Caenorhabditis elegans: one gene and its partners. The protein of the gene in region 1 purifies or fractionates together with the protein of each later gene. This does not show direct contact. Each region holds a gene or a part of one and is shown in the gene's direction. Other genes may lie near its edges.

Region 1 (11,017 bases):
TGTGCATCTCGGCGGGAGTGATTACCCTGAAAATTTAAAAATTCGTTTTGTGGTTGAGAACTGAGTCTGGAAATTAAATGTTAAACACTATTTGAATGAAAAACGATGTTTTAAAATAATTTTTCGGCTTGAATTATGAAAGTGAGAGTATGTAGAACATATATTATTAGAATACTAATAGGCGGGAACAAGAGAGAAATATGAGGCAAAAGACAAAGTAGGAAAAAAGACAAAGTAGGAAAAAAAAAGGGGTAAACTGTCACTGAAGCCAGCAGAAAAGTCAAGGCATGAGCTAATCATTGCCTTGGATAGGGGAAATATACGCGGGGAATCAAAGGAAAGTAAAATACAAATATACGCGGGGAGATCAACAAAGGTAGATCAAAACTAAATTTGTGGGTAGATCAAATGATGATAATGGTAGATCAAAATTAAATTTATATGACGGAATCGAAGCCCTAATTTTCGGAATCAGATTTTATCAAAAACAGAAAATTTGTTAGGGTGTTTAATTCCGAAAATGCAAAACTGTCGATGTTCGTTATTAGTAGTGGTAGGTCCAACGTTACAGTCACATGCCGACTGTGAGACACAGGTGAAAAGAGAGTTTATATATGAGAGAGTGCGCGACGATAAAAGATATGCAAAGGGGACATTTGTTTGTGTGAAAACATCGAGGGACCATCCAAGGATATAGACATGTGCAGAGACAATGCAGAGATGAGAGAGCGCTTTATACAAAATTCTAGAAACTTTGAAAATATTTTATACCCGTAGATGTTTGTAGAATTTTCCAAATTTGTTTAAAATTTTAAAAATGCATCAAAATTTCTGTAGAACTATCAAAAAGTGCTTTAAAAATTCTGCCAATTTGAAAAATTTCATTTTCAGAGTGTTCGAAAAACTATTGGGGAAACTATTGGAATTCAAACTTTAACTCAATTTTATGTTGTTTCACTTGAATTTTTTGGAACAAAATCAATATTTTGAGCCATTTTTTGTCCAATTTGGGGTGTGTACGGCAAATTTCAAAATCCATTTTCTGAAATTTGCTGTGCCCTGGAAGTTCGAAAAAATTTGCCGCAAGCCCCTGGTTTGGAAACAATTTGAATTTTTCGTAAAAATGTGATTCTGACTATTCTTTTTTCACTTTCTGAACTTTTCCAATTATACAATCAGATAGATCAAAACGCCAAACAGTCAACCTTGATTCCTTTGTTGATTCCAAAACCGAATCGGCATATCACCAAACTACACACAAAGGCAATTATCTAGACAAAAAGAAATAATGATTTTTGCTTAATTATTCCTAGAGAAATTCTGTATGTTTCATTAAAATGCAATAATTTTGTGGGAGATTTTTTTATAACAAAAACCTTATTTTCCTTCTGAAAATTTTGAATCTAAAGTACACCCATTACCAAGAAACATTGTTTCTAATTTGTAGCCTACAAGAATTCGTTCAGAAGTTTTGTTCAAATAAAAAAAACCAATCGGATAGATACAACTTATTTTACTTTTGCAGTAGAAAGTCGTTCAAACTGAATTGAAAATATTTTTCTGGCGCTTTTAATTTTTGTTTCAAACTTTGCAAATTTTTAATGTAGTTTTTTAATGTAGTATAATGTTTAGAAAAATTTTTTTTTTGACTTATATGGAAATCTAGTTATACATCAGTATTTAAATTTTAAATTTAGCGCCCACCAATCGGCGACCGTGTAATTTGCTGATTGGTCTACGCCAGCTCTTTTTTCAAAACTTTATTGTTATAAAGTTGCAAACTGCAAATTTTCGGTTGTGGCGAGCGTCAGCTCGCTACTGACGCTATTTAGGCTTAGTTAGGCTTAGGCTAAGACTTAGTCTTAGACATATTCTTAGGTTAGGCGAGGACCGAAATCCCCAATCATTTTCTAAAACAAAATAATTTTTTTGGCAATATAATTGATTTGATAAGCTCCTATAAAAGTTGATAAATATTTTTAAAAAAATCTGAAACACTAGGCTTAAAAAATTTTTAATTTTTTTCGATCAGAATAAAATTATCTGAAAGATATCAGTTCTACACTTTCCTAGCTCAAAATGCTAGAAACTCAATATTCAGTTCCTTGTTTCAAATAATTTCAAAAAAAAAAATGTTGCAATATCTGGTCTCTCTCTCCGCCGTCCCTCCATGCATCTCTCATTCATCATCGATCCCGTAAAAGGCGTGAAACGCGTGCAAGATGTCGTCGTGTTTCTGATAATGATCACAATGAGAGACTGGATCCTCCCGTCTTTTTTTTCAACCGAAAAACATCAGGCGCCCACTTGTTATGCAATCTTGTTTCTCTTGCCATCTTTAATGAAAAGAAAATATATCCATTTTTATCTTCTCACTCATATCCGACGGATTCTTGTATTTTTATGCAATCACTTGTTATTTTTTTTTGCTGTTCCTGGAGTTTTGCGCTCGAAAATATTAAAGCGTTAAAACTAGTTTTTTTTGTGCAAAAATATCTAATTTTGAAAATTTTCAAAAACTTATAATAATAAAATTGTTCGGCTTTTTTCGATCGTTGAAAGGAAAAAATTATTAATACAACGAATATGTTACTAAAATTTGAAATTATTTTATATGCACCCGAAAAATGGTAAGAAAATCAGTCTCATAGTTTTAGAAGTCAGCCAAAAAAAATTATTATATGAATTTTAGGTACTTATGGGTTTCGTTCCCCCAGTATGTTTTCCATAGTTTTTAATAGAGACGTGAACTTTTTTTTCATTCTCAGGCTTAGGAAGATGGTTTCCTAAGCCTGAAAATGAAAACAGTATTAAAATAAACTTTCACGTGTGGATTAAAATTAAAAATCCAGTATTAAATAATTGAATGAACATTTTGGGGGGAACGAAACCCATAAGTACCGAATTTTATAAATTTTGAAGTGTGTACTTATTTTTTAAAATTCAAGTTGTCTTTGCCATATTCCAATTTAATTTGACATTTTCATTGCATATTGTAAGCATTTTTCGAAATTCAAATTAGGGGTGGACTGCAATTGTGTTCGGCAAATTTTTTTCTCGACAAATTCGGCAAATCAGCAAATCACCGGTTTGCCAATTTGCCGGAAATTTTTGTTTTCGGCAAATTGCCGGTTTGCCGATTTGCCGAAAATTCTCGTTTTTGGCAAATTGCCAATATGCCGGTTTGCCGAATATTAATTTGCCGGAAGTTTTTAAAGGGTTTTTTATAAGGCGGAAACATTTAAAACTGTGCCGTTTAAAATTTTTTTCCCCGTTTTCTTTAGATATTTTCATTGAATTTTCTTTAAAAAATTTCCAAAAAAAAAGTGCAAAACCACAATTTTCCGCATTTTCTGGCAATTGCAGTTTTTCCGGCAAATTCGGCAAATTTTTTGCCGGTTTGCCGATTTCCGTTTTGCCGATGATTCAAATGTTAAAATAATTATTTTTTCAAATAGAATTTTTTTGGGCGATTTCCAAAATTATGATGGCACCTACCACTTTTTATGACTCCTTAAAAACTTTTTCAAAAAATTTTTTGAAAAGTTTTACTATTATATTTGGTCATTTTGGCAATTTTCTAAGTAGTTTTTGGAATCCGATTTCCTTTTTCTAAACTCCACAGCAAAGTATATCAGGAGAACAGTATCAAATTAACTTCCACACACACAGACTCACAAAACAAAACAAAAAGTCCAAAGTGACATTGTGATAAACCCATCAACGAAAACATTCTCCTTCTGTCTACCGTCTTTTTTGTTTCATTTTTACGGAAATTTCTGTTTTCTTTTTTTCTCTCTCTTCAAAAAATTGAAAAATCCCCAGGTGAACCTCCCTCTTCTCATTTTAGTTCCTTTTTGTTTTTTAAATACGGGCTGTTTACTTTGTTAGAATTTGTTTTTATCCAGTTTAAATTTTTCAGAAATTAGATTTTTTAGACCGAAATTAGTCCTTTTTGTAATTAGATGTTCTGAAAATTTCTCAAAAAATTATTATTGCGGTTAAAAGTTTTGGAAAAACGGTTTTGGCCTAGGCTTAGGCTTAGGCTTAGGCATAGGCTTAGGTTTAGGCCTAGGATCAAGCTTGGCGTCAGTGGCGAGCGTCAGCCAGCTACTGACGCTATTTAGGCTTAGGATTTTCCAGTTTTTTGATTTTTGATTAGGCTCAGGCTTAGGCTTAGGCTTAGGCTCCGGCTTAGGCTTAGCCCTAGGTTTAGGCTTTGGCTCAGCTTTAATTAATCAACTTCTAGATGAAGACAAAAAAATTCCTGCTATTTTCGGAAGTTTTTTTGATTTTCCGATTTCCTTCATTGTAGCGCATTTATCATTAAAAAACAAAAAATCACCAAAAATTTTCAAACTATTTTGTCATCGTTACACTTCGTTCTAGTCCCATTCTTTTCCAAAAGTATTTTCACACCTTCTTATCACCTTATCTGATCTTTGAAAAAATCAAAATTCCGGGCTTCAATGTAGCGCTTATCAATTCCAGGGGAGCAACAAAAAATGATAACCGACTTTTTATTGGCGTTTTCAATTTTGGCAGTCTCCACCACTCTTGGCGTGTCAAATCTCAACAAACAGTGCAGGGATCTGTTGCAGTGCTCAATTCAGAAGAAATGTGTGAATGTAAGTATAGGGCGCAGCCGGCAAAATCCAGGACCTCTCGCACGGTAGAACAGGATCTAGAAACATTTGATGTGCAACTGCTGCAACCGTAAAAATTTCGCTTTGTTCTGTGGAGCGTCTTTGCATCCCCTGGAAGCTGAACCACCATGTTTGATTTCCCGAATTGGCGGGAATTTAAAATTCTGAAAAATGTGACGTCAAACTTATTTCAGCGCACATTGTAGATCAATCTAAAAACTAGAGACTTGTATAATTATAGCTTGAAAGAATTAAACAAGATTATCAAACACTTTTTAATTTTTTTTTAATTCCCGCAAATTCGGGAGATCAAACATGGTGGTTCAGCTTCCAGAGGGATGCAAACGCGCTCCACAGAGCAAATCGAAATTTTTAAAAAATTGAAATTTTGGTTGTTAGGCCCATGCTTGGTAATTTGGAGCATGTCTATGCAAAATTTTGTGAAAACACGGTTCCCGGTCTCGACACGAATTTGTGTTACATACAAAAATGTATGCGCCTTTAAAGATTACTGTAATTTAAAATTCTCATTGAGGTGGAATTTTTATTAGTTTTCTTGCAAATTTGGTTTTGTTTAAAATTTTTGTTTAAAAAACAATGAAATGGCTTTTATAAAAATTGATAACTTTCAAAATTCAAGAAAATTTCTTAACAACAAAATTTTTAATCTACAGTACTATACTCTTTAAAGGCGCACACCTCTTTGGGTTTATCAACAATTTGTCGCGTCGAAACCCGGGACTGTATCTTTGGCGCAAGAAATTGTAAAACTTTGAGTCTACCTAATTAAGCAATACCTAACTTAACTTTTTGTTTTCTACGTTCTGCTATGATTCATTCGGTTTTTTTTCTCGGAAATTGATTTTTCAAAAATCATGGCAAAACAATTTCACAAATCTATTACCAATTGGGCGAATAACCACTCGGAAACTGTTCAAGATCACGAGATTAGTCAAATTCAAACTAAAAAATAAGGAAATCATTTTTATGTTTCCCAGTAGATATAACTAGTTTGAAAAACTTCAAGCTACGAACTACAAACTACAAACTACAAACTACAAACCACATAAACAATTATGCATCATTTACTATATATAAAGTAGAGTTTCCTTCCGTCCAATGTAGGCTATGCCAACACGCAAAATTACTCACTTTGAAAGTTTTCATTTTCAAAAAAATCAAATTAATTTCAAAATTTCAATGTTATTTTCAAGGGGTATTTGAAATTTATTCCAGCCAGTTGGATGCGCCGGAGGCGCGGTCAGCGTCTGGTATTACATATATTGATTTTTGGGTGTTCCCAATTAGCAAACTTTCAGCTGCCCGTTCTCTCGAAGCTAGTCGATGGCAAGAACATCTCTGCGGAAATGTACGACGATATTGATAAGGTATCAATCATCAAGTCTTCATTATCGCTGAACACACCCAAAACCCCTATTTTTTTCTGTTGCAGTATACGGACTATGGTTGCATTTTTACCACTGGTTGCCAGGACGAGTGTAACGATTGCCCGTTGTGTTTGACGTCCAAACTGCAAATCGTCGACATTTTGTCGGGAGAGAAATCGTCGGCTGGTCAGTTTTTTGGGTGGACCGAATTTGATTTTTTGATTGGAAGTTAGCTTTGCGGCCGACAATTCAAAGGGTGATGAAAATTCAAATTTTCTGAGAACCAACTTTGAAGGGAAATTCAAATTTTCTGAGAACCAACTTTGAAGGAAAATACAAATTTTCTAAGAAAAAAAATTGTTTCGATTAAAATGTTCTGAGAAAATTTTTTTGGCGGAAATTTAATTTTTATTGAGAACATATTTTGGTGGGAAATTCAAATTTTTGGAGAAAAATATTCGGTGAAAGTTCAATTTTTTAAAGAACATATTTTGTCGGGAAATTCAAATTTTCTGACAAAATTTTTTGGCGGGAAATTCAAGTTTTCTGAGAATTTTTTTTTGCGGGAAGTTTAAATTTTCTAGAAAAAAGTTGTTGGAAGGAAATTCAAATTTTTTGAGAAATGTTGTGGCAAGAAGTTCAAAATTTCTGAAAAATACATTTTGGCAGGAAATTCAAATTTTGTGGAAAAAAATTTTGGCAGGAAATTAAAATTTTCTGAGAAAAAAAAAGTTTGGCGGGAAATTCAATTTTTTATGAGAAAATATTTTGGTGGGAAACTCAAATTTTTCTGAGAAAACTTTTCATATTCTTTTTAGGAATTAATTACATGTATTAAAAAAGCTCAAAACCCTGAACCTATGCAAAAAATTCTCCAAAAATGTTGAAATTTGCCGAAAACTTGCCTGAAAATTAAAAAAAAATCTAAAATTTTTTATAGTGCAATTAAGATCTTTGGCCATGTAAGACTAAAATGTACTAAAATTAAAAAAATTCCAGAATGTCCCACTCTGATGGACTGTGCCTTAAAATGTGTTGCCGAATCGAATCAAGACATTTTCCAAATCAATAAGTGCCTACGACAGGACTGTGCTTTCCACTGTTTCGATGGCTCTTGCCCAAAGTGCTCAGGGTTCATTACAAGGTAATTTGGACAAAAAAATCTCAAAAACTATATTAAGTAGCGGCCGACACCTCGCGGCTGCACATTTTATAGAAATCGACACCGGGGAGGTGTCGGCCGCTACCCAATCGCAATACTTGTACTTTTCAGAGTGTTCAACCAAATGTGCGCGGCCGGAAACTTCCGCCAGAAAATCAAGGGCTACTCAGGACCGTGCTACGAGATGTTCCACGAAATTGTGCGCGCCAAGTTTGCCGACCGGTTCGAGAAGAATGGAAAAACACGAGGACACAGTGGATAGAGTTATTTTGATTTATTGTTGATTTACATAATTTTCCAATTGTACATATATTTTTTGAGAAAAAAAATTCAAAGCAAGTTAACAGAAATCTCATCGTTGAACAACAGCTTCTTAGCCTCCAGCGCAGATTGAACGGACCGCCCGATTTGTTTCCATTGATTCTCAAAAAGTGGCTGACTTGCAGTTGCAGTTACGGTCATTGATTGAACAAACGGCTGAGCACTGACCCCAGCAGCGGCACGTTCTCGCGGTAGAGCACGTTTAAAGCGCTGAAAATGTATAGAGTTTATTGGATTTTCAGATGAAATCAGCTTACAATGTCTTCCTCGGATTTAGTAGTGGTTGCCACAGTGGTTGGAGCTAAGGTCTGAAAAATTCGAGGGAGGATTGTGGCGGGTTACTGTAGTGGTACGGTAGGGATACTACAACTATTTTGGAAATTTAGAGAAATTTCTGGAGTTTTCTTGATAAAAAACTTTTTTTTTAATTTTGGAAAGCCTCACAAACTTCTAAAAACTAGGGAAGTTTCCGGAAATAATTGTCGCGAATTTGGCAACAGAATATTATAATAAAGCATTTCAAAAAATTTTAGATTTTCCATTAATTTATGTGTTTCCCTCTTATAAAAATCCATCTAAACACTTCCGGCAAATTGATATCAGGCAAATGGCAAATCGGTAATTTGCCGGAAATAAATTTTTTTTTGGCAAATTGCCAAATTTTTGAGCAATTTTTTTTCGTATGTTTCGTCCCCTAAAATTGCTCAACACAAATAATTAAATTAAATTAAAGTATAAAAATCGGTGGAAAAAACTTTTTTGGTCGACTCCAAAAGCGGCAAAAACTGAGAAATTGCCACTTTTTGACAGTAAATAAAAAATTATTTAAAAATTTTCTTGATAAGTTTTACTATGATATTTAGTTATTTCGGCACCATTTCGGCACGTTTTAAAATTTATTTCCGGCAAATTACCGATTTGCCATTTGCCTGATATCAATTTGCCGGAAGTGTTTAGATGGATTTTTATAAGAGGGAAACACATAAGATATTTAGTTATTTCGGCACCATTTCGGCACGTTTTTAACAATTTGCCAACTGTCGCCTAATGCTGCCAGGGTAGGCAGGTGCGGTTTCATAAGCTGAAGCCTGCCTCAAACCTGGTGACCTTAAGCCGGTCTCTCGCCTCATTTTCGCACTATGGCGAGAAGTCAGCGGCTTGGTGTTTATACTACGCTATACGAAAAATGGTTTTTTTTCAACGCGGCCGATACTATTCGGGTTCCGCGCCGTATTATACAGAAGGCGCGGCTTGCTGCGCAAGGCAGACGCAGCAGGCATTTTGACACCTACATGAAAGCCTATTTTCCTTACCTGTGTCGTGGCTCCAGAAACCGGCGCTACCGTACTTCCACCTCCAATTGAACATTTATAGACAATTGTTCCAGAAATTGCGATACTTGTTCCGTCGGTAAAACACACTTCTCCGTCGGCAATTTGCACTTTTTGGGGGACAAATGTAAAGTTGACGGTTGGAGGTGTTGAGAGGTAAAGCTGGTTGACAGTTAGAGCTTTTGATATCTGAAAAACGGTATTTTCTTTAAAATAATTCCTCTTGTAAAACCGATAACTCACAGCCAAGTCCAAGTCCGTTTTCACCTTTTGACTTGCTTGCTCAACAGTTAAAGATTGCCCGGGAAACAGGTCAGCTTCATTTGGAGGGTACGTATAGGCAAGTGGTGCAAAAAATGAAATACCAAACTCCGAAGTGGCAGATGATGAACCTGAATATGTCAAATTTTGAATTTACTGGGAATCAAAAATTGCTGCGGCCGACACCTTTCGGGAACAATTTTAAAAAATTTACAAAACCCGCAAGGTGTCGGCCGCATGAATTATGACTACCTTGCACTTAAAAAACACCTAATATTTTCCAAAAACAAACCTGAAATATCAGATCCGCATGACCAAACGAGTGCGGGATGCTGAAGCTGGAGAAGAAATCCGACGAGAAATTGCATTTTTTTGGAATTCATTTTTTTCTGTGAAAACGCAGCAATATTCACAAGCATTTATACTCAACTTCCCGGCATATCAAATAGTTGTAAAATAATAAAATGCGTTATTTATCTTGCAAATTTTGCTTTTTTTTTGGTCAAATGTTTGGCAGAGGAACACACCTTTGAGACATTTTTACTCTGACGTCACAAATATTTATCTTTCTAGCAAGGTATATTCTATAGAAGCCTTGGAATGTATTTTTGATGAAATTATTGATGAATTTAATACGTTTTAGTGAGGTGAGGAATGGGGCCAGGTACACGTTGTCATAAATTTTTTCCAAAATTGCAAAAAAGTGTATTAAAAAACAGATTTCGCTTGCCGATTTGCCAAAAAAAACAAGGAATGCCGAAATTGCCGAAACTTAAAAATCAACAAATTGCCAAAATTGCGAGAAAAAAAAAATCAAAACTTGAAATTGCCAAAATTGCCGAAATTGCTGATTTCTGATAAATTCAAGAAATCAGCAATTGTCGAAAGCTGAAAAAAATTAGGTAATTTCCGAAGTGTCTCGAAGGTACTTTTCCGATTTCTGCCCCCCCCCCCCCCCCAAAAATGTTTTTCAATTTTTTAATTTAATTTAATTCACACGTGAATGTTTATTTCAATAGTATTTCAATTTTTAGGCTTACTATAAGCCTGAAATTACAAAAAAAGTTCACGTTTCAAAAAAGAAATTTTCGAAAACATTTTGGGGGGCAGAAATCGGAAAAGTACCGTCTCGAATTACTAAAAATAAAAAAAAAGCCAAAATTGCCAAAATTGCGAAAAAAAATAAAATCAAAACCAGTAATTGCCAAAATTGTCGAAATTGCCGGTTGGCAAAAATTTGAAAAAAAACAAGAAATTGTCGAAATTGCCAAAATTGCCGAAAATCCGAAATCCCGTAATTGCCAAAAATTGCCAAATTTTTTTTTGAAACCAGCAATATTGCCGGTTTCCGACAAATTCCCACAAACCAACAATTGCCGAAATTTCAGATTTCCGAAAATTAAAAAAAAAACCAAAAAAAAATTTCATGTTTTTTATTCGGGAAAATATTGAACATGTAAAAATCTATATTCAATCAATTCTGAAAATAACTATCAAAATTGATGCCAACTCCAACTGCATTTCCAGCAGTTTTCAGCGTATTCCCCGCCTGCTCCAAAGCCACGTGCTCATCGGTTCCAATGTACCAGCCAAAATATAATCGCATTTTCTTGGGAAAAATCATTTTGACAACAGAGTTCCGTATCGTCCGATTCAAAGTCAAATATACAATTCCCAAACATCCACTGCTAAACTGCCAGGAAATATGAGCGATAAGGATGAGCCACCACGGGGCCGGGAAAAACTGAACGTACTCGTAAATGATAGAAGTTGAGGCATGGAAAAAGGTTAGTATGATACCTTGTGCGATTATCTGAATTTGCATTTTTGAATAACCTTGTTACAATTAAAAGAAATACAGTACTGGCTAAAAAGATGAGTCCACTTTGTTTTTTTGATAATTTCCCT
Region 2 (10,609 bases), on another chromosome or scaffold:
GTATACTAAACAAAGCAAAACCCGCACACAAACCTCAATTCAAAGCTGAAAAGAAGCGAGATCTGAAAAATGCCGGAAAAAATTGGCTTCGAGTTAGGACACTTGGGGTGGTCAAAAAATTTTGTGATTACTATCAAATGAAAGATCATAGTTGATAACATAAATTCCCAAAGTTTCATGAAAATCGATGCACAACGAACAAAGTTATGATTTTTGACCCGGAACTTATTTGGAGACCTAATAATTACAAATACAATACACAACAGGACAAAAATTCGATTGATCCTGGTGGCCTAGGATTCCTAGTAGTGAAATTTTAAAGCTTTTTCGACTATTTTTCTGACTGAAAATGCTCAATTTTAACGGATTTTTTCTGTTTTTCTTTTGCAATAATTGGAAGTTTGAATACACAGACTACACTTTAAAACAATTTCCCCATTGACGATGACTCCTTCTTTAAATGCCATTGTCTTATTAGTGAGATCTTTAGACGAATAGGAGAAATTGAGAGCCAAGAAAAAGGTTCCGTTTTTGCACCAATCTTTTTAGACCTCCTAGACTAGCGGGCCCTGCGGGCCCGCCAGTTGTAGGGGGTGTAAGGCGAGTCCCCTTGCCGGGCGTAGGCACTCGGCTTCGCCTCGAACCTGTTAGAGGGTTCGTGAAAATTTCAGTAGGTCAATGGGAGTCTTCTTGTTTTTTGAGTTCGGTTTGACCAAAAACAGATGCACCCGATGAATCAGTTAAAGCTGAGTTTTGATTGATTGAAGTTTGAGGAGGTTTTATATGGGGAGAGACGTACCCATATTTTGTATAAAATTGAATATTTCTATTCGAATCCCGATTACTCACAAAAAACAAAAAAATTTGTCACTTGGTAGAATTGAACCAACTACCAAAATTTCTGCAATCATACGCACTAACCACTCGGCCATGCCGAAAACACCTAAAACTGGGATGTAGGGAAGGGAAATTTCTGGAGGGAGTCGTTTTTCGATTCCGCTTTCTTCAATAATTACATTTTGAGAAAAGGCGTTCGAAAACCGTTTATTACTGATATGTCAGCGGGAAAACGAATTTTTGAAAATTTTATTACAGGATTGTACTCATTATTGATTTCCCAAAAAGGAGACGTACAGTTGAGGGCTATATCTTGTACACAGACAGATGTATAGAAAAAAACAAGTTTTGGCCTGAAAATTAATAAAAATAATATCTCTTGGCAGAGTATTTCTAATGCGACGAAACTTCATCTTCCATCAAATAAAATCAGAAACTATGAATCAAAAATACATTCCGCAAAACTTTAGTGGAAAAAATGTTCAGGAGACCCAGGAAACCACTCCCCCCAGTACTAAATTTTTGAATTATTTTTTTCTTGAAAAATTTTCCCACTGAACTTTTTACAAATTTTATATGTCTCGATGCGTCTTGATGAGACCTACACGTCATTTTTTAGAAAACTAAGAAAACTTGAAAACTGACCGAGTTATGATGGAAAAAGTAGATTCGCGAAAATGGGAAAGTGTGCAAAATGTGGCACTTATTCGTCTTGCTCGGCCGACTCATAGAGCTTTTTCCAATTCTGAGTTGAAAATCGTGTTCAGCGTACTTTTGTACGTGGGGTGAACAAAAAAAATATCAAAAAAGATGAAGTAGAACTTGAGATAATGACGAAAAACTACTTTTTCGGAAAAAAAATTTTTTTGGCAAAATGTCATTTTTTGGCCTTTTGTTTTATCACAACTTTTTTCCATTTGCACTTATGAACTCAAACTTTTTTTCAAAAAATCAGTTTCTCTGAGTAGTATCTTGCACATGAGTTTGAAACAAAACAGAGCAAAACCCGAATTTTAATTCAATTAAAACATGGTTTTTTGGGGGTAAAAAGAGCAACAAAAAATTTTTTCAAACTGGGGAAAGCCGTCCTGGGCTCAATTTTGCTCCGAACTTAATGCCGTTTTCTGCTCCACCGTGGGGCAAAATATTTCTAGTAGGATTTCAAATATTAGAGCATGAAGTCACACGGTTCAGGAGTTGTGAATGAAAACGAAGTGGGACATTTTTTCGCAAGCCAAAAAAAACGCGAAAAAGGGGCGGAGTCTGTACACTCGGCATTTATTAGAGGCTGCTTGGCAGAATTATGGAGGAACTGACTTTGCTGAATAGTGAAAAAGAAAAATGATGTTCAAACATTAGAGAAAAACGAAGAAACATCAAACTACGAAACAATGGACAATATTTGAAATAATCGGAAACACAAACACGATGTAGCACGTTGTAACACGGAAAAATTGATTCCTTAATGCTATTTTGCAGGTGAAGGGGCCAAAATGTCTCAAATAATGATGTGCTATGCATATTTAAACTATGCGAATAGGTTCCTGAGAAACTAAATTACTACTACAATATTAAAAACAATAACAATTTTTACTATTACCGGTACAGAGAGTGTAGATTGTTAGCGAGTGACAGACATCCGGGACCAAAAGGGGCGGGGCGCGGGAAGAGACGATTTGTGCCGATTTACGAAATTATGACAACGAGGAAAACTCTGTAAATCGACACAAATCGTCTCTTCCCGTGCCCCGCCCCTTTGGGTCCCGGATGTCTGTCACTCTCTAACAATCTACACTCTCTCTGTACCGGTAATATATGTTCCCAATAGTGATGAGTTTCATTTACACTTAAATAATGCACAAGACGTTGTGTCAGGCTGTCCCATGACGATGTGATCTACAAAAAACGCGGGATTTTTTTGCCAAAAAATGTAACGTCAGCACGCTCTCAACCATGCGAAATCAGTTGAGAACGCATTTTTTGTAGATCTACGTAGATCACACCAAAATGGGGCACTCTGAAACCACGTGGCACAACACGTTTTGCTCATCTTTATTTCACTTACACCCCACGTGACAAGTGACGCGTAGCACATTGCCGATGGATATGGTGCAGATGAGATTATCACTCGCGACCATTTCAATGTTGCCGTGTCCAGCCTCCAAAGGTCATTGAATACGGCACCGGGGGTATGCTCATCTCCATCGATGGCCTGGAAGAGAAATTGATAAGCATACAACACTGTTGGCTCAGTTTTTATTTTTATTTTTGGATCAAAAACCTTAGAGAATAGGCTGAGGCCCTTAGGTCCTCAGACTGAAGTCCAAAGGCTTAGGTCCAAAGACTTAGGTCTCAAGGCTTAGGATCTTAAACTAAGATCGCAACGCTTAGATCTGTAGGCTTAGCTCCACAGACCTCGGTCCATACACTGAAGCCCTTAAAAATAAAACTTGGAACAAACAGCTTCGATCCATAGGCTCAAGGCCAAAGGCTTAGCTCCTCAGACTTAGAAAAATAGGATTAGCTGATTAGGTTCAGGTTCATAGGCTCTGGTCCTAAGGTTTACCTCATTTCCTTAGACTTTGGTCCAAAGGCTCAGGTACCGAGACTACAGTTCCTAGGATCCTTGTTAGGCCCATAGTCTTGGGTCCTTAGGTTCTAAGCCGCAGGTCCATAGCCTTAGCTCCTTAGGCTTAGAATGCTAAACCAACGTTAGGAATAGCCTAGATCCTTAAGCTTAGTCCTTAGGCTTAGGCCGCTAAGCTTAATCGGCTTAATCTCAAAGTTTGTCTATCTTCATCGATTTTACCTCTCCACCAAACAGATAAAGCGATCTAGTAGGCTCAAAATATGTGGCACACGCGTTCTGCCTCTCCGACATGATCTCCACATCCTTCACCACAAACTCGTCGGCAACCTTGTCCAGCTGTCCACTTGACGATGAGGTTCTGGGGCTTCTGATCCTTCCAGCCACCACCTCCTCCTCCTCATCATCCGGGGAGCAACGCTCGAACTGGAATTTAGGGTGAGTATAGAACTCGCTGTGATCCATGAGCTTCACGTGTAAATCGCACAAGTCGGTGAGCTCCGGGCATATCGATTTGAGGGTTTGCAGGTCGGGATATCTGGAATCTGGAATTTAGGAGTTGGCAGCTGGGCTTCCGACTACCTCAAATATCGCAGAACCTTGTTCAGCGCTGGCTCCGGAAGTCGTAAAAAATATTTCTCATAACCAAACTCGGCGATTCGATCTGAAAATATGAAACTTCTCGCTTTTCCGAAAGACAATTCCTGTTCGAAAGCGGAAAAGAAAACGATTTTAATCTGCTGCTGGCGTACTTTGTCTGTGTTGGTGATAAGCGGGTGAGTGAGGGGGGTTTGAAGACAGAAAGAGGTGATAAGGTGTACACATATACCACTTGCACGACGCTCTATTGTAGGCAAGTACGGAGGAGTGCGAGTTTGATTGATTTTTATTTGATTTTGGGTTTATTGTTGAATATTTTTGAATATTTTTGAATTTCAGTTGAAAAATTCTCTCTTTTTAAGTTTTGGCCTAACTCTAATTGGACTAATTTTGTGTTCAAAGATTATTTTTTCAGAAAAAATCTCATTTTCTTTGAAAAATTTTGTTAGGTCTCAAGCTTTGATGCTCAAAATGTTAAGTTAAAGCCTTTTCAACGATTAAGGCAACTTTTTCCGCACAGTTTCTAGGAGTCGTCAGGTGATGCCAGGCTGTCCCATTACGTTTTGATCTACAAAAAATGCGGGAACTTTTTGTCTAAAAAATGTGACGTCAGCATGCTTTTAATCATGCCAAATAAGTTGAGAACTCTGCGTCAATTCTCCCGCGTTTTTTTGTAGATCAACGTAGATCAAACCGAAATGAGACACTCTGACATCACAGTCTCCAAACTTTTGACAGCAGCCAAATTGGTATTTCTGCTTAAAATTGAAATTGCTACCTATTTTCCGTTATAGGTAGAAGTTTTTCCCCTTCTAGAGCTAGTTTTCCCAAGCTTTCAGGTATTTTTAGGCTTTGCAAGTCTAAAATTTCCACAAAATTAGAGAATCAAATGGAAAATTCTATTGTTGACCACCATCATGCCTCCGGTACACTTAATCACAACCATGATAAGATTAAACTAACATATGATCGGTTGAGCACCTGAAGCTTCTCGTGATTGTACTTAGGTTCCGTATGAAACCCCACTTCCCACGAACTCAGAAATTCACGATCTCGGTTCGATTCAGATCTTCGCCACTCGACTTGCAATAAATGTCGGCGTCCTATCAAACAATCGAGCACGACGTGCCGCAATCTTATCGGTAACCTCCTACACTGTCACTCTTTTTTTTTGAAGCATTTCAATTTACAGCGACAAAATCCTCAAGTGGAATGGCTGGGGGTACAGCGATTCACAGTTTGCGATTAACAAGGACGGACATGTCACTTTTACCGGGGATAAGTGAGATTTCAAGGGATTTGAGCAGATTTAAGCCGGGAGTTGGCTGAACTTGTTGAATTTTCAAGCTCCAACTTACACTAAAAATAAAAAACAACTGCGTGGCGTGTACGCAGAAAACCCAAAATTTAGGCCCCGCCTTTTTCTCGTCTACTCACGGGGAAAAGGCAAAATTCGGGACCCCAACCAATATCGGGCCGCCGACATCTCACGGATTCCGCGCGCTGCTATGTTTAACTCGCAGCGGGCGGAGACAGCTCGCCACGCCCATAGCGAGTTAAGCGCAGCGGCGCGCGGAACTCGTCAGATGTCGGCGGCCTGATATTGGTTGGTCCCGAATTTTGCCTTTTCCCGTGAGTAGACGAGAAAAAGACGGGGCCTAATTTTCGAGTTTTCTGCGTACACGCCACGCAGTTTTTTTTTATTTTGAGTGTATCAATTTCTAATTCCAGATACGAAATCTCCGGAAAAGTGATGCCACACTTCCGCCCGTGGTTCGAGAACTACTTGGGCATCGATCTAGGCTTCGTAAGCCCAGCCCAGAAGCTTTCGGACGTGATCATCGATGCCCCTGTCGAAAATGAGGATATCATTGAGTTCCTGCAGGAAAACAAGATTTCCTTCTCGAATGAGGCAAGAATCAGATTGATGAGAGGTCATGGGCATACAGTTCACGACATGATCAATTTGAGAGAGGGAAAGATCCCGAGACTTCCGGATATCGTTGTCTGGCCGAAAAGCGAGCATGAGATTGTTAAGATCATCGAAGGAGCAATGAGCCATAACTGCGCGATCATCCCAATCGGAGGTGGTACCTCTGTCACAAACGCTCTGGATACCCCAGAAACCGAAAAACGAGCTGTGATCTCTATGGATATGGCACTTCTTGACAAGATTCTCTGGATTGATCGAGAGAATTTGACTTGCCGAGCTCAAGCTGGAATTGTCGGGCAATCGTTGGAGCGTCAGTTGAACAAGAAGGGATTCACATGTGGACATGAACCGGATTCCATCGAATTTTCTACTCTCGGAGGATGGGTTTCGACTAGAGCCAGTGGAATGAAGAAGAACAAGTTGGTTATTATGATTTTTCAAGTTGTAAACTCAAAAAACAAGCAAAAAACTCGAATTTTTGTCTATTTTCGGTTGAAAAACTCAAAGATTTCCCGAATTTCTGTATTGCTGTCCGCAAATACGGTACTCCAGTTTTGACACGATGGTATTTTTGGCATAAAAACCACAAAATTTCGGGTTAATTCCTTTCGTGTTATCGAAAAAATACGATCGCACAATTTTCTCATAATTTATTTTTGATCTACCTGTTGAACTTGACTCCGCCCCTTCCTTCGACAAGACAGCCATAACAAAATAACAACGGCAACAAGTTTGGGGGGGGGGGGGCGGAGTCAAGTTCAACAGGTAGATCAAAAATGAATTATGAGAAATTTGTGCGATCGTATTTTTTCGATAATACTGTACAAATTTACAACAAATTCCAGATACGGAAACATCGAAGACCTCGTCGTCCATCTGAACTTCGTCTGTCCAAAAGGAATCATCCAGAAGCAATGCCAAGTCCCAAGAATGTCATCCGGACCAGACATCCATCAAATCATTCTGGGGTCCGAGGGAACGTTGGGAGTGGTGTCCGAAGTCACAATCAAGATCTTCCCAATCCCAGAGGTCAAGAGATTCGGAAGCTTCGTGTTCCCGAACTTCGAGAGCGGAGTCAACTTCTTCCGCGAGGTTGCCATTCAACGCTGTCAACCAGCATCCCTTCGTCTTATGGACAACGATCAATTCGTTATGGGACAAGCGTTGAAGGTGGCTTCAGATTCTTGGTGGGCTGACTTGAAGAGCTCCGTGAGCAAGATGTACATCACATCGTGGAAGGGTTTCAAGGTCGACGAGATTTGTGCGGCCACGTGTGTCTATGAGGGAAATCGCGAAGAAGTCGATCAGCATGAGGAGAGGCTGAATAAATTGGCCGAGCAGTTCCACGGAGTTGTCGGAGGCGCCGAGAATGGTCAATATGGATATCGGCTTACTTTTGCTATCGCCTACTTGAGAGTGAGTTGGAGCCGACGGGTAGATCAAATTTTGAATTAAATCGTTTCAGGACCTTGGAATGAACCATGGTGTGCTCGGCGAGTCGTTCGAAACCTCAGTTCCATGGGATAAGGTTCTCAGCCTTTGCAGGAATGTCAAGGAGCTGATGAAACGCGAGGCAAAAGCTCAGGGAGTCACGCATCCAGTTTTAGCGAACTGCAGAGTCACCCAGGTTTACGATGCCGGAGCCTGTGTGTACTTCTATTTCGGATTCAACGCCAGAGGATTGAAAAATGGCCTAGAAGTTTATGATCGTATTGAGGTAAGCTTTCGATAAAACGCCCCTGATCTCGGAATTGCCCTTATTTCCAGACAGCCGCCCGTGACGAGATCATCGCTTGCGGTGGAAGCATCTCACATCACCACGGAGTCGGAAAGATCAGAAAACAATGGATGCTGACCACGAACGGAGCAGTCGGAATTGCGTTGTTGAAGGCTATCAAGAGTGAGCTGGATCCGGCGAACATCTTCGCCAGTGCTAACTTAATTGATATTATTGGATCACCGCATTGCAAGTTGTAGATAATCATTGTTTCGTTTTTTATTATTATTGGATTTTGAAACTTGAAGAAATAAACTTTTTTGAAAAAATAATCGTTCAGAAGCTCAAAAATTGGCTCAGATGCCGGAATCTAGCTCAAAAGCTCAGAAAATTCAATTTTTGTAGAAAAACTAGTATTTCGCCTGCCGAATTGAATTTCGATGCTCTAATTTTAGCTAGGAACTTCTAAATTTGGTTTGGATCCTCAACATTTCGTTCAACAGCTCAACTTTGCTCTAATTTAGCTCTAACTCCTTTAAAATCACAGTTTAGAAGCTCAACTTTTGACTTCTGAACGCATGTGGTGTCAGGCTGTCCCATTGCGGTTTGATCTACAAAAAATGCGTAAATTTTTTGCCAAAAAAAAATGTGACGTAAGCTCTTAACCATGCGAAATCAGTTGAGAAGTCAACTGCATTTCTTCTCCCGTCTTTCTTGAAGATCAACGTAGATCAAACCAAAATGAGACAATCGGACGTGTGAACGTCCACGTGGTGTCAGAGTGTCCCATTTCGGTTTGATCAACGGATATCTACAAAAAACTTTGGGCTTGAGACGCAGAGTTCTCATAATGATTTCGCTGGGAAGAACGTGCTGGTCACATTTTCTTGTGCAAAAAATTCCCGTCCTTTTCGTAGATCAAACTAACATGGGACAATCTGGCACCACGTGCCAACGTCCAATTTTGGTAGGAATCCACATATTTCGATTGAGAATGCAAATGTTCCCAGTTTGAATCCCAGTAAAAACGTTTCACTTAGAAAAAAAAGTGAAAAGCATCAAAGAAAGTTGTAGAGCAGGCCATCAATCATTAACTCTACCACCAATCACAGCTTCTCCTCCAAACTTTTCGTCCATAGTTTGTCTTTTTCAACGACTTCTCTCAACTAATCGCCACCGCTTATCCCATCCGAGAAGCTGGTTTCTTGCGCAACGACCATTAAAAAGGCGAGAGATTCTCTCATTAAACAATCAGGAATTATCAAGACACATCTTATAATGCATCGACGATGAGAAAAATGAGAAAAACATTTGATAACATATGTGGGGGAGGAGGAACGAGAAGCATAACGGCTTCTTCTTCTTCTTCTGCTGCCTCGTTTTTTATATCTCCACTATGCTATCATTTCGAGGAAGAAGAGATCAGATGAAGAAGCAGACGATTTCAAAAAATGAAACTTTCCGATTATTTGGTTCCGCTGATTCTTCTGCTAGATCTTCGTGTCAGTGGTAGGTGAAGCTTCCACAGATTTTAGTCTAGAAATTAGAGATTCTGTCACAATTTCTGTTGAAAATCGTGCTGTACACAAAATTCTTCGTGAAATTGTCAAAAATCGGAGTTTTCCGGGGTTTTTGCAAGTTTTTACTCGTTTTTTACAGATTTCTGATAAAATTCAGAAAATCTGAAGTTTTTTTGAATCACAATTCATTGCCGGCACACTCGGCTCAAAATTGCAACCCAAGCTTCTACTCTGATCCTCTAACTTCCAGAATGCCGAACCCTGCGCCGTTGGAGTCACCGAAGGATCACCTGGTCATTTTCTGATCCCTTCCGGCTTCTGACTGCCCATCAGTTCCAGGGAGTCAGGTAGATCAAACTTTGAGGGGCAATTCCATGAAACTCTCTCAAAATTCCAGGTTAACCGTACAAGAAGCCGTCGCACGATGGGCGATCGCTTTGGAAGGGCTCGTCGAGTTCGAGGAGGTTCCTGTGGTGGATGCAGCCGATATTACGGTGCTTTTCGCGAAAAAGAATCATTCTTGCTACGAGGTAGGTCGAATTTTAGTCTAAAACTTAGAAATTCTGCTCAGGAGCCGGAAATTTGGAGCCAAACTGGAAAATTCAGTTTAGAAATCGGAGTTTTTATTGGAGAGAGCTCCTCAAAGACTCAAAATTTGACGGAATGTTCAAATTTCGGTTTTTTTCGGTGAAAATGCTCCAAATTTTCAGCCAAAAGCGCTGAAACTAGTGTAAAATTCGAAAGTTGAACCGGAAAACTGCCGAACTAAGAAATTTTCAGTCAGAAATTGAAATTTTTCAATGGTTTTCCATTAAAACTAATGGATTTCGCCTAGACTAGATCTTCAGTCAAGCTCGGTGAAATTCGATTCTACCACAAAATTTGAGTTTTTCAGTGAAAGATCTAACCTTTTTGTCGGATCAAGTTTTAGCCAGAAATCCAAAATTTTGATCCAAACTGGTAAATTGAGTCTAGTAACCGGAGCTTTTGTTGGAGAGGCTCAAAATTTGGCGGAAATTTCAAATTTTGCAAAATGATTCCAAATTTCGGCTTTTCGGTGGGAAGTCTAGTCGAATTTTGAGCAAAACTTGCCGAAACTAGAAATTTGGGCCGGAAAACTGTTGAGCTGAGATACTTTTAGGCGGGATTTGAATTTTTTAATGGATTTCCATTAAAACTTATCGATTTCACCTAGATTTCTAGCCAAACTTGCTGAAATTCGATTCTACAACGAAATTTGAGATTTTCAGTGAAAGATCTAGATTTTCAGTCGGATCAAGTTTTAGCCAGAAATCGGAATTTTGGATCCGAACTAGAAAATTCAGTTTAGAAACTTGAGCTTTTGTTGGAGAGGCTCAAAATTTGGCGGAAATTTCAAATTTTGCAAATTGAGATCCGAATTTCGGCTTTTCGGT
Region 3 (9,359 bases), 9.6 Mb from region 1:
AAATCTAGATAAGACACTTTTGAATTTGTTTGTGAAGTTTTGGTAAATTGGCAAACTTTTGAAAAATTGGGATTGTCAAGAAATTTGGAGCTGTCTCGAATATTCGAATCCCTACAATTAAATTAAAACAGTTTAAATTAAGTTTAAGTTAAAACAATGAAAACATAATTAGAACATAAAATTTTGGTCAATGTACCTTAAGATTTAGATAACTCTTTTTCCTTATCTTTTTTACTGTAAATAAAACAATTTTTGTTGGAATATCTTGTTCGTTGGTAATTGGAGTTTTCTGGATTTGTATCATTTACTTGACTATTTGACAAAACAACTACAACTGAATCATATTTTCTCTAAAAATATTCGGTCAATTTCTTTAATTTTCAGAATCCGAACGGTGCACAATCAATATAAAAATTCTGGTGTTCATTGTAAATTTAACCTCTTTTTTAGAGATGAATTATACATAACCCACTTTACTTTTACTTTACCCGAAAGCTTACAACACAATTTTTGAAAGCAGAATACACCAAACATCTTCTCATTTTTTCGTTTAGTAGAAAAGTTAAAGTATCGAATTACTAACGGATAGGAACTTTTCAACTTTTCCCTCATCCTCATCTCACTTTTTTTTGAAAATTTTTACGTTTTAATATTGAACCGTTAAAACTGTCTAATTACTCTCCTTTTGGTCATTTGCTTGATAAAGTTTCGCTTGAGAAAGGCAGTTTCGTTTAGAAGTTTATTCAAAAAATCAAACTGACACTTACCAAAATTTGATCAAACTGTCGATACCTTACATTTAAAATTGTTCGGTATATGTCTTAAAAAAACAACATAAACTGGAACGAATCTCTTTGTGAAAAAGCAACAGACATTAGTTAAGCATTTTCATATTAATTACAGAGATGTAACTTTTGATCATTGCAGTTTAAAAAATTGAACTCTATATTTTCTGAAAAAAAAATGTAAAAAAATAATGAAGATTTTTACCGATATTCACCGCTGAAAATTTTGGAAACCATTTCCCATTGTCAGTTTTTACAGTTCAATTTTATCATTGTACAATGTTTCAGCAATTTCAAGCTAGAGTCTATATACTTGCTAAAGTCTATACATTAATGAAAGATCAAAATTTGCGCGCCACTTGTCTTTTTGACAATGTATTTTTAATCAGGTTTTGTCCAAATGTCTATTTAACAGAACAAACTTGTGTTCTTACTTTTTCATTTTCTTCAAGAATATCAGCAAACAAAAAATTGTTGCTCAACGCGTGAGCACGCGCGAATCCAAATTTCATGTGCTCTTTTTCTCTCGTTTTTCTTCAGTTACTTTCATATTAAAACAGTTTTATTGACAACCTGACAAAGTCGATGGTAAATGTTTGGGAGCACCATCGCAGATAAATCAAATTCAATATATATCGGCGGCTGATTTTGTTTGTTCTCTCGTGATAGCACTGATCTATTTTTGTGGCTTAGGGGAAAAGATAGAAAACCTTCTAATGTGATTAGGAATACATGTACAATTGGTATCTGGAAAACATTTTACTTGGTCTACAAATAATTGAACAAATAAATAAAATCTACAAAATTTGATCACAAAAATAGTAGACTGTTGTCTGAACTTTTCTCCGAATTGTTTGTTTTTTACTCGTGAAAAAAACAAAAAAAAAGATCCAGAAAAATGACGAAATTTGAAATAAACAATTTGAAGAGCAGTAGTTTTTCCAATGCCAAGTCTCTTTTCAATTTCATATCCAAGCATGACACGGTTTTTCATTGGGATTGGCAAACAAAAAAATGTGCCAAAAAAGTAAATGTTGATATGAACTTACAATGATCTTTTCTTGACCTTCTAAATTTTTCATCCATTACGTGGCATTTGATTGATTGTAAATACAACTGTAATCTTGTGAAAAACAACTCATTGAAACTATTGAATGCAAACTCAAAATAGTTTTGTCATCATTTTTTGCAGGTTTTAAGATTTTATTCAAGACATTTGAAAGTTTTAAAAAAGTTGTTGTGTGAATTTTTAATTCCAGTTTTCAAAAATTTAAACAATTTTGACATATTCGCTTCAGACGAGATTTCAAACCTTGACTTCTCAGTCTTTATCAATATTACTTCCAATATCAGAAATTCTTTACTGGTGTTTTCGATAAAAACGCATCGTACATATACAATGTTGCATCTGATCTAATTGGATGTAAGTGAGATTCCAGTCTCTGATTAAAATGAAGTTGATATAATTTGAGTCAGAATAAGCTTTTGATTTAGCAAATAACAAAACTAAAGAAGTGTGCCAACTCTATTTTTAGATAGCTCAATGCCAAGTTATAAATGAAAAGTTGCTGCCAACGAGGTCATTACTACTTTTATCTACGTAACTTGCAACAAATAGTTATTTGGCAAGTTTGTTTTTGAATTTTTAAAAATCCGCAAATATGATCAAGAAGCTAAATATTTATTACAAAAACACTTCTAACAGATCTACAACGTTCACTAAACAATTGTTTCGCAACTTTTTAGACTCTTTGCTTGTCTCAAAGTTCTTGCCCAAATGCCTTGTTTACTCATCATCCATCTTTTTGTATATTTCGTTTTTTCTTGATACTTCCCTTTAAAGTTCTTGAAAGTCCGATGAAAAATGCCAAAATGACCCGGTACACTTGACAACCAATGAGTAATACGCAAATAATTGAGAAGATCAACATTATTCGCCTTGTTCTCTACTTTTCACACCTTTTGGCAGATTGCGGAGATTCTCTAAATATTTCGCTCTTTTTCTATTTTCTTTTCCTCCTCTACCTTTGCTTCTCTACCTACAAGTTTACAATTTACAGGCTGCGCAAACAAACAAACGAAAAGAGGTGGAGAAGTCAACGACCTACCCAATAATCCCACCCCTCTGAATCTTTTATTTTACTTTTACATTACAGTCAGTTCGTTGTCGATTATAACCATGACCTCGTCGTTTGCTATTTTCACAATTTCTGCTCTTTTCTGCATTTTCCCATATGCCGATACACTTCGGTGCCATGATTACACAAGCACCAATTTGATGAAGAATCCAATGAAGACATGGGTAAGATTTTAAACGAGATAAGCAATGAGTTAATAGTCAAATTATCCATATTGCTGGAAGTAGTTGAAAAAACACGAATTTACTTATGATAGCCCATTAGTAAGAACATTTTTCATTATTTGAACGCCACTAGCTTCAAACTTTATCCGGTTTTAAAGATGAAAAAAAGTTATTAATCTAAATTATCACTGTATAAACTCGCTAGAGCTCAAGGTGATATGCAGGCACGGACGCCTGCTGACATACCTGCGTGCCAAAAGTGGACATCTTGGCTTGAAAATAAAAATGAAACTTCCAGCTCATCAAAACAAATAATTCATGCCAATATTTATAGGTCGACTGCCCAGCTGACGCTCAATATTGTTACAAAAGCTATTTGGAATCCAGAGATTTTAACAATGACAAAACTTTCGTCTCAGGAAGAGCCTGTGGATCCTCTAACCTTTGCATTGTAAGTTTTTATTTTTACCTGTGGAATTCATCTCTTGGCTCAGAGAAATTCTAATTTTGAGAAAGAAAACCATATTTATCAAATTACTAATTATTTCAGCAAAATGGATGCGTTGGAACTAACACCGATAAGGCCTGCTGTTGCCGTGGAGATCTTTGCAATTCATCATCACTCGTTAAACTTACTGTCTCTATTATGACATTGTTTGCCGTTTATTTCTTCAAAAATTAAATTTCTTTCATTTTTGGTCTTTGAATTTTAAAATACTCTTTCCTCAATTTTCAACTTGTGCTCAGGTGCTCATCTGGCTCTCTATTACTGTATCCATAATCTAAAACCAATGACCCAATTTCTTCTCATTCCGCTCATTTCTTCCCGGAGAACGAACATCAAACAGTAATAATCAAAATCGAATTCATGTGTCAAGTGTCCTTATAATTGTTTAAATCAAATGTAAATAATAAGTTCATCCAATAAAATTTTTATAAAATAGAAAACATGATCATCACTGAGATCAAATGAGTCGTTTTCACAAGGTGGATGAAAAATACTTTTTAAAAAGTTTAATTGGAATATTCAGTCAAATGTGCCTTTCTCCAATGTAATTGTGAATTTTGATGTAACTGATGCAACTGATGAATTATCAAAACTACCAAACATTGAAGAATTTGTATCACCAGGTGCAACAGAACATTCTCGTGACATGAAAATCAAAATTTTAGGATCAATTCCAACTGCTCTCATGACAGATTCTCGATACGGTTTGATAAAAGTAACGGTAATCAATGGATTGATAACGGGAACCAAAACGGCAAAAAGAAGTGTGAAACTTTCAAGAACTGGAGATTCAACGATCCTCAGCTGACCAAGTAGGAAACAAATTGATGAGAATATAAAAGCAATTGGAACAATAGTCTGAACTGTCAGTGCCTGCAATAAATCATATTTCAAAATAATTTACATTTTCAGACTAACCCAAGTCAGCTGTCTATGTTTTTCTCGAATTTCCGGACGGAGAATTGCATTTCGTAACTTGAAGTGTATTTTTCGGCGGAGCCCATACATAATCAAATATCCAGGGATAATTGGAATAAGCATTAGAAGATATGAAAACAAACACGGAAATTCTCGAAGATCAGCATGTCCATTTATAACAAAATCTTGTAATTTATATTGAGAATGATGAATTTGAATAAGTTGTCGAACATCTTCTGGCTTGTTGTTATCAATGAATACGAAAATTGCTTGCAAGTATGATGGGAAGTATATAATGCAAATTAAAATGATAAGCTGTTTAGCTTTTGGATATCTTTCCAGAAGAACATAACATCGGAATATAAAACAGAGAATTAGAAGATGAAAAGAATATGAATGAAAATGAAGTTGAAGACTGAAACCCAGAAAACAAGACCATTCACTGAGATATTTGCAAAGTCCAGTTGAAGCAATTCCAAGTGTTGTACCACTTGGGATTAATCTGAAATTAATTATATATAGCTCAACTCGCCATTGGAGTATAAAGAAAAAATTTGGGTTCTTTTTTGAAAGTGTAATCTCATGAATTATATATAAGCGTGGAAAACATGAAAACGGCCCTGCTTAATTTTGACATTATTGGAAGAAACTAGAGCATATCGAGAACATGGTGCATTGCTAGGAAATGCAAAATAAAATTTGGAAATTACCTTGATTGACTGAAAATATCAAAAAAACAAGCAAGTGCATCAGATCCACCTCTGACAGTCAATAATATAGAAAATGTTCCAATAGATTTAGGGCTTCTGAATAAAGTTAGAAAAATCAAAATCGTATTGAAAACAATTCCGAGAAAAGCGAGCACATAGTGTAGAATAAATATAACCAAAAGGAACATCTTTGTACATTTTTGATATTTTTACATTTATATACTAAATTCGATTTCCGATTTATGTTATGCTTGTCCTTTTATTCGAATCCCAGCAATCAGAATCGAATTTCCGTTTATTTTTTCGTTTGTAGACGAACTCAATTCCAAATAAAAAATATTATTAATTCAAATTCAATCTTTGAAAGACCGATGTTTATGGAATGATGTTTATAATTTTTAAGCAGGCATAAGTTTTGGTTGATTAGAAGGATTCTGATCAATCAATGCAAATAATTTCTAAGACAATTTTATAAAATTTATTTAATAATTTTTTTTAAAAACAACTTTTTCCCTTTAGAAAGGCAATGCAGAGAAAACTTACTAGACAAATACATACTAGTACTAGGTCCACAACTAAAATTTGTCAATAAAAATTTATTTGAAAATCCGCCACTTACGACACTCCGATATAACGATGCGCGTGTAGTTTATCAACTCAGTTTTTCAGTCATTTTTCGAAAAACTTTTTTATTGCGCGAATCTATTTAAAATTTGTTACTCTTTTTTTATTATTATTCTGATAAACGCAAAATTTAAATCCCTGAATGCGCACGTTCCAATTAATTTGTAACCTATAACAAAATGCAATGTGTTGTTTATTATAATGAAAATTGTTTTGCTCGAATTTTCGACGAAGATTCCCTAGTGTATTCGATTCCATGGCAACGCATGATTCCATTCTCCATCCTCTTTGTTTACCTAAAATTATATATTTTTCCAGATATTTCAGTTATGCGATAATGTCTTCAAACTTGCAACTGGTTGAAACGTTTGATAGTCGTCAATTCGTTGTTGCTCGTTGGAATCGAAATGATACGACAGCTATGGTTCCTTCTGCAATTGCTGTCGTTGTCTTCGTGGAGTCGGTTGAGTATAAACTTGGTTGTAAGGTAAAAAATATTGTTATGCTGTGAAAACAAGCATTTGAAATTAAACCGTTTAGGAGAAAATAGGATACTCTCCAACACCTGAAGATCAAGATCAGTTTATGATATTGCAAATGGAATCAATAGATGAAGCCAACAGGATTTGCCACGATTCCATCGCTAAAGGATTTGCAATCAACAATGTAAATAATTATTTTTAGCTGATTGTATACAATTCCTTTTATTTTCAGACGAAAATCGTGTTCACTCCCCTTCTAGGCTTGAACGGATTCAGACTTCAAGATGCCATTGATTTCATGAAAACTTCGCAACCGCACTTCAATAACGACGAGCTTTTGGAAGTGTTGACAATGGCTATCTGTCAAGAACTTCCTGAACGCTTAAAAATTCTCGAAGATGGATTTTCCTTCATTGAACAAGGGGTTTCTGAGCTCATTCAAAATTCTGCTTGTGAGATGTTCGGCTCTTTTGCATCACCGGTGCGGCGAAATGGTTACTCAGACATTGTAAGTTGTTAGAAAAATAATTTTATTTTATTTTATTAAGAAACAATAATGTTTTTAGGACATTAACGTGGAATCAGTCAGCGCTCCAGGTCAACGCGTTTCTACAAATGTAAGACCATTGAACGAAGTTGTGGCAAATCCAAAGGTACAAAAATTACTGTAAATTGTCCTGAAACAATATACAATTACAGTGTCTCATCACTCATCCACTAACCAAATCGGAGCTTGAGACATACCCACAAGAGGAAATTATCAAAATTCTCTACCGGTGCTTCAACGAGAACAGTGCATTCAAAACTAAATTCGAGATGCGTTTCTTACCTGCACGCACTCCAATCATAGTCTTCAAAAATATCGAAGTGGAAGGAATGAATGTATGTTGACGCTTTCAAACATTGATAATTCATTCATTTCAGGTGTCATACGATCTATCAGTTCACAATCAAATCAGTGTTGAGAAGGCGAGCTTGTTGCATGAATTCATCGTAAAAGACAAGTCGAAGGGAAGTAGAATGAAAAATGCAATGATGTTCATCGTACACTGGGCAAAATCAAATAAGTTGCTATCGGGTGACTATCCGGTAATTATATATTGAATTAGGCAGTTCTTAAACTTCATTATTTTAGGAAGAGAAGCTTGAAGTCAAGACAAAGCTGAACTCTTACATCATCAATCAGCTCGTTATTCATTTTGTTCAAGCAGCAACCAACAAGGTTCATGTGAATCCTCAAGCAAAGCGAGATTCTCGAGTCAATGAATACAACTTTGACACTCTGTTCGGCGATTATTGCAAGTTTTTCCGAGAGCTTTTCAAATACTATGCCAACTTTGATTTTACGAACAAAGCGATTTACGGGAAGAAAGCGATGCAAAAGTAAGTTAAAAACTAATTTCTCACAACTAATTTGTATATTTTTTTTTAGAAAAACACTCTCAAGTGCGCACGGAGGCGTTGAAGAATCTCCGTTGATGTTGATGGATCCCATGGATATTACTCATAATATTTCGGCAAAAGTAACAGAAGACGCGGTCAAACTACTAAATGGTCTTATTCGGAACGCTCTTTTCATTGTAAGCATTATTTTGATTGTTTATGGATTAAAAGTTATATTTTCAGTTGAAACAAAATCATTTTCACATCAACTATCTTCTGGAAACCAACACGATGGCTACTATGCTTATGAAGAGCAGAGAGCCAAAAATCAGTATATCAACTAGAGTAACTGATGGAGCCGAGCACCAGTACTTGTCAGTACAACTTCCAGCCGTGGTGATAACCTCGAGTGATCTTTTCCTCCTTCTTACTAGAGTTCTTCGCTTTAATGTCTGTCCGAATGAGCAAGGACCCAGTGTTGTTGATTTATGTACTCCAACGGTTAGTTCTATAGAATAGAAAGAATGTGACGTTTACAACTACTATTAATTTCAGGGTGCCATTTTCCTTGTAACTTCAAGAGCTTGGGTTGGACGTCGCAATACGAAACGCGCTTTGAAAAACTCTCGTCACGATTTGACGCCTCTCCAGATTGATGTTATGTGCAGTGACAAGTACGATTACGAAGAAGATATTGCGGAGTTGCGTATCTCGATGAGCACTGTTCCTGGCACCAGAATTAGGTTGGCATGCATCGATATAATGCGTGGTCAAGTTTCCGAAGTTCGCGACGCAATCCACTTTTTGATTGATCAATTCATTAACAATAACTACGATGACCTCGAGAAGAATGGCGTTCAAACCATTTCCAGGATTCCAATTGCAGCCCCAACTTGGCCATAATCATGTTCTCAATGTATAAGTGTTCTATGAATTCGATTTGTATGTATGATCCACCATATATTTTATTTCATATTTATTCCGGTATTTTTCTGACACGTCACCCAGTGACCATTTTCCATTGAATCTCAACAAATAATTTTTCCGCTTTATTATATTCAACACCCAACTTTCATGATCACTTCTCGGTCTGTGTTCTATTTATGTATATCGAAATTTCTAAGTTTGAAATACACTGGTCATCTTGAAAGCGATTTTTGAGTTCATTGTCGGTTAATATTCCAATTTATATCTAAAACATCAATTTGAATAGGAAATGTATCAAAACTGTATTCAGATGGATCAGAAGGGTTCACAAAGAGCACTACTGGCACAAACAATAAATGAAATTGTCAAGCTTCTTATTGAAGCTCACAATCAAAAAAAGGATGTCAACTTGAATCGGCTGAAATGCATCGTATGTGGTTAGGCGGTAAAACACATTTCAATAAATATTTTCAGGTTGCTCAAAAGAATGGACTGAGTTTTCAACCGAAACTCGTTGACATTATCGCTGGAGTTCCGTCCGATTACAAAGACAGCCTTCTTCCAAAACTCAAGGCAAAACCAGTTCGAACTGCTTCTGGAATTGCTGTTGTAGCAGTGATGAGCAAACCACATCGTTGTCCTCACATCAATTTCACTGGAAACATTTGTGTCTATTGTCCCGGTGGGCCAGATTCTGATTTCGAGTATTCAACACAAAGT

What was found.
Region 2: the proteins of C29G2.6 (region 1) and ads-1 fractionate together in Caenorhabditis elegans (co-fractionation; one large-scale study listed by BioGRID). This does not show direct contact.
Region 3: the proteins of C29G2.6 (region 1) and usip-1 fractionate together in Caenorhabditis elegans (co-fractionation; one large-scale study listed by BioGRID). This does not show direct contact.

What each region holds. Positions count from the first base shown.
Region 1 is NC_003283.11:2,579,383-2,590,399, reverse strand, and holds C29G2.6 (dct-5 family protein), read left to right. Parts: upstream 1-4,491; 5' UTR 4,492-4,505; coding exon 4,506-4,628; intron 4,629-5,965; coding exon 5,966-6,034; intron 6,035-6,099; coding exon 6,100-6,220; intron 6,221-7,033; coding exon 7,034-7,178; intron 7,179-7,307; coding exon 7,308-7,458; 3' UTR 7,459-7,526; downstream 7,527-11,017. Other genes in the region: C29G2.3 (DUF5683 domain-containing protein), read right to left, coding at 7,527-7,727, 7,775-7,825, 8,831-9,037, 9,092-9,240, 9,402-9,492; srt-4 (Serpentine Receptor, class T), read right to left, coding at 10,584-10,922.
Region 2 is NC_003281.10:293,039-303,647, reverse strand, and holds ads-1 (Alkyldihydroxyacetonephosphate synthase), read left to right. Parts: upstream 1-5,091; 5' UTR 5,092-5,116; coding exon 5,117-5,166; intron 5,167-5,216; coding exon 5,217-5,306; intron 5,307-5,755; coding exon 5,756-6,376; intron 6,377-6,439; exon of another isoform or gene 6,440-6,532; intron 6,533-6,802; coding exon 6,803-7,373; intron 7,374-7,422; coding exon 7,423-7,674; intron 7,675-7,724; coding exon 7,725-7,934; 3' UTR 7,935-7,994; downstream 7,995-10,609. Other genes in the region: Y50D7A.1 (F-box domain-containing protein), read right to left, coding at 2,903-3,049, 3,647-3,962, 4,007-4,088; Y50D7A.13 (Peptidase metallopeptidase domain-containing protein), read left to right, coding at 9,126-9,183, 9,445-9,541, 9,592-9,724. UniProt on the Caenorhabditis elegans protein: Catalyzes the exchange of an acyl for a long-chain alkyl group and the formation of the ether bond in the biosynthesis of ether phospholipids.
Region 3 is NC_003283.11:12,181,001-12,190,359, reverse strand, and holds usip-1 (U6 snRNA-specific terminal uridylyltransferase), read left to right. Parts: upstream 1-6,165; 5' UTR 6,166-6,184; coding exon 6,185-6,334; intron 6,335-6,387; coding exon 6,388-6,513; intron 6,514-6,561; coding exon 6,562-6,837; intron 6,838-6,895; coding exon 6,896-6,982; intron 6,983-7,028; coding exon 7,029-7,211; intron 7,212-7,253; coding exon 7,254-7,418; intron 7,419-7,464; coding exon 7,465-7,712; intron 7,713-7,761; coding exon 7,762-7,909; intron 7,910-7,955; coding exon 7,956-8,213; intron 8,214-8,267; coding exon 8,268-8,615; 3' UTR 8,616-8,859; downstream 8,860-9,359. Other genes in the region: ZK863.8 (UPAR/Ly6 domain-containing protein), read left to right, coding at 2,965-3,087, 3,422-3,538, 3,638-3,769; srd-4 (G protein-coupled receptor), read right to left, coding at 4,115-4,468, 4,514-5,015, 5,224-5,411; elpc-3 (Elongator complex protein 3), read left to right, coding at 8,950-9,069, 9,114-9,359. UniProt on the Caenorhabditis elegans protein: Acts as a specific terminal uridylyltransferase for U6 snRNA. Responsible for the addition of UTP at the 3' end of U6 snRNA which stabilizes U6 snRNA. Does not have activity towards modified uridine containing 3'-monophosphorylation or 2'-O-methylation.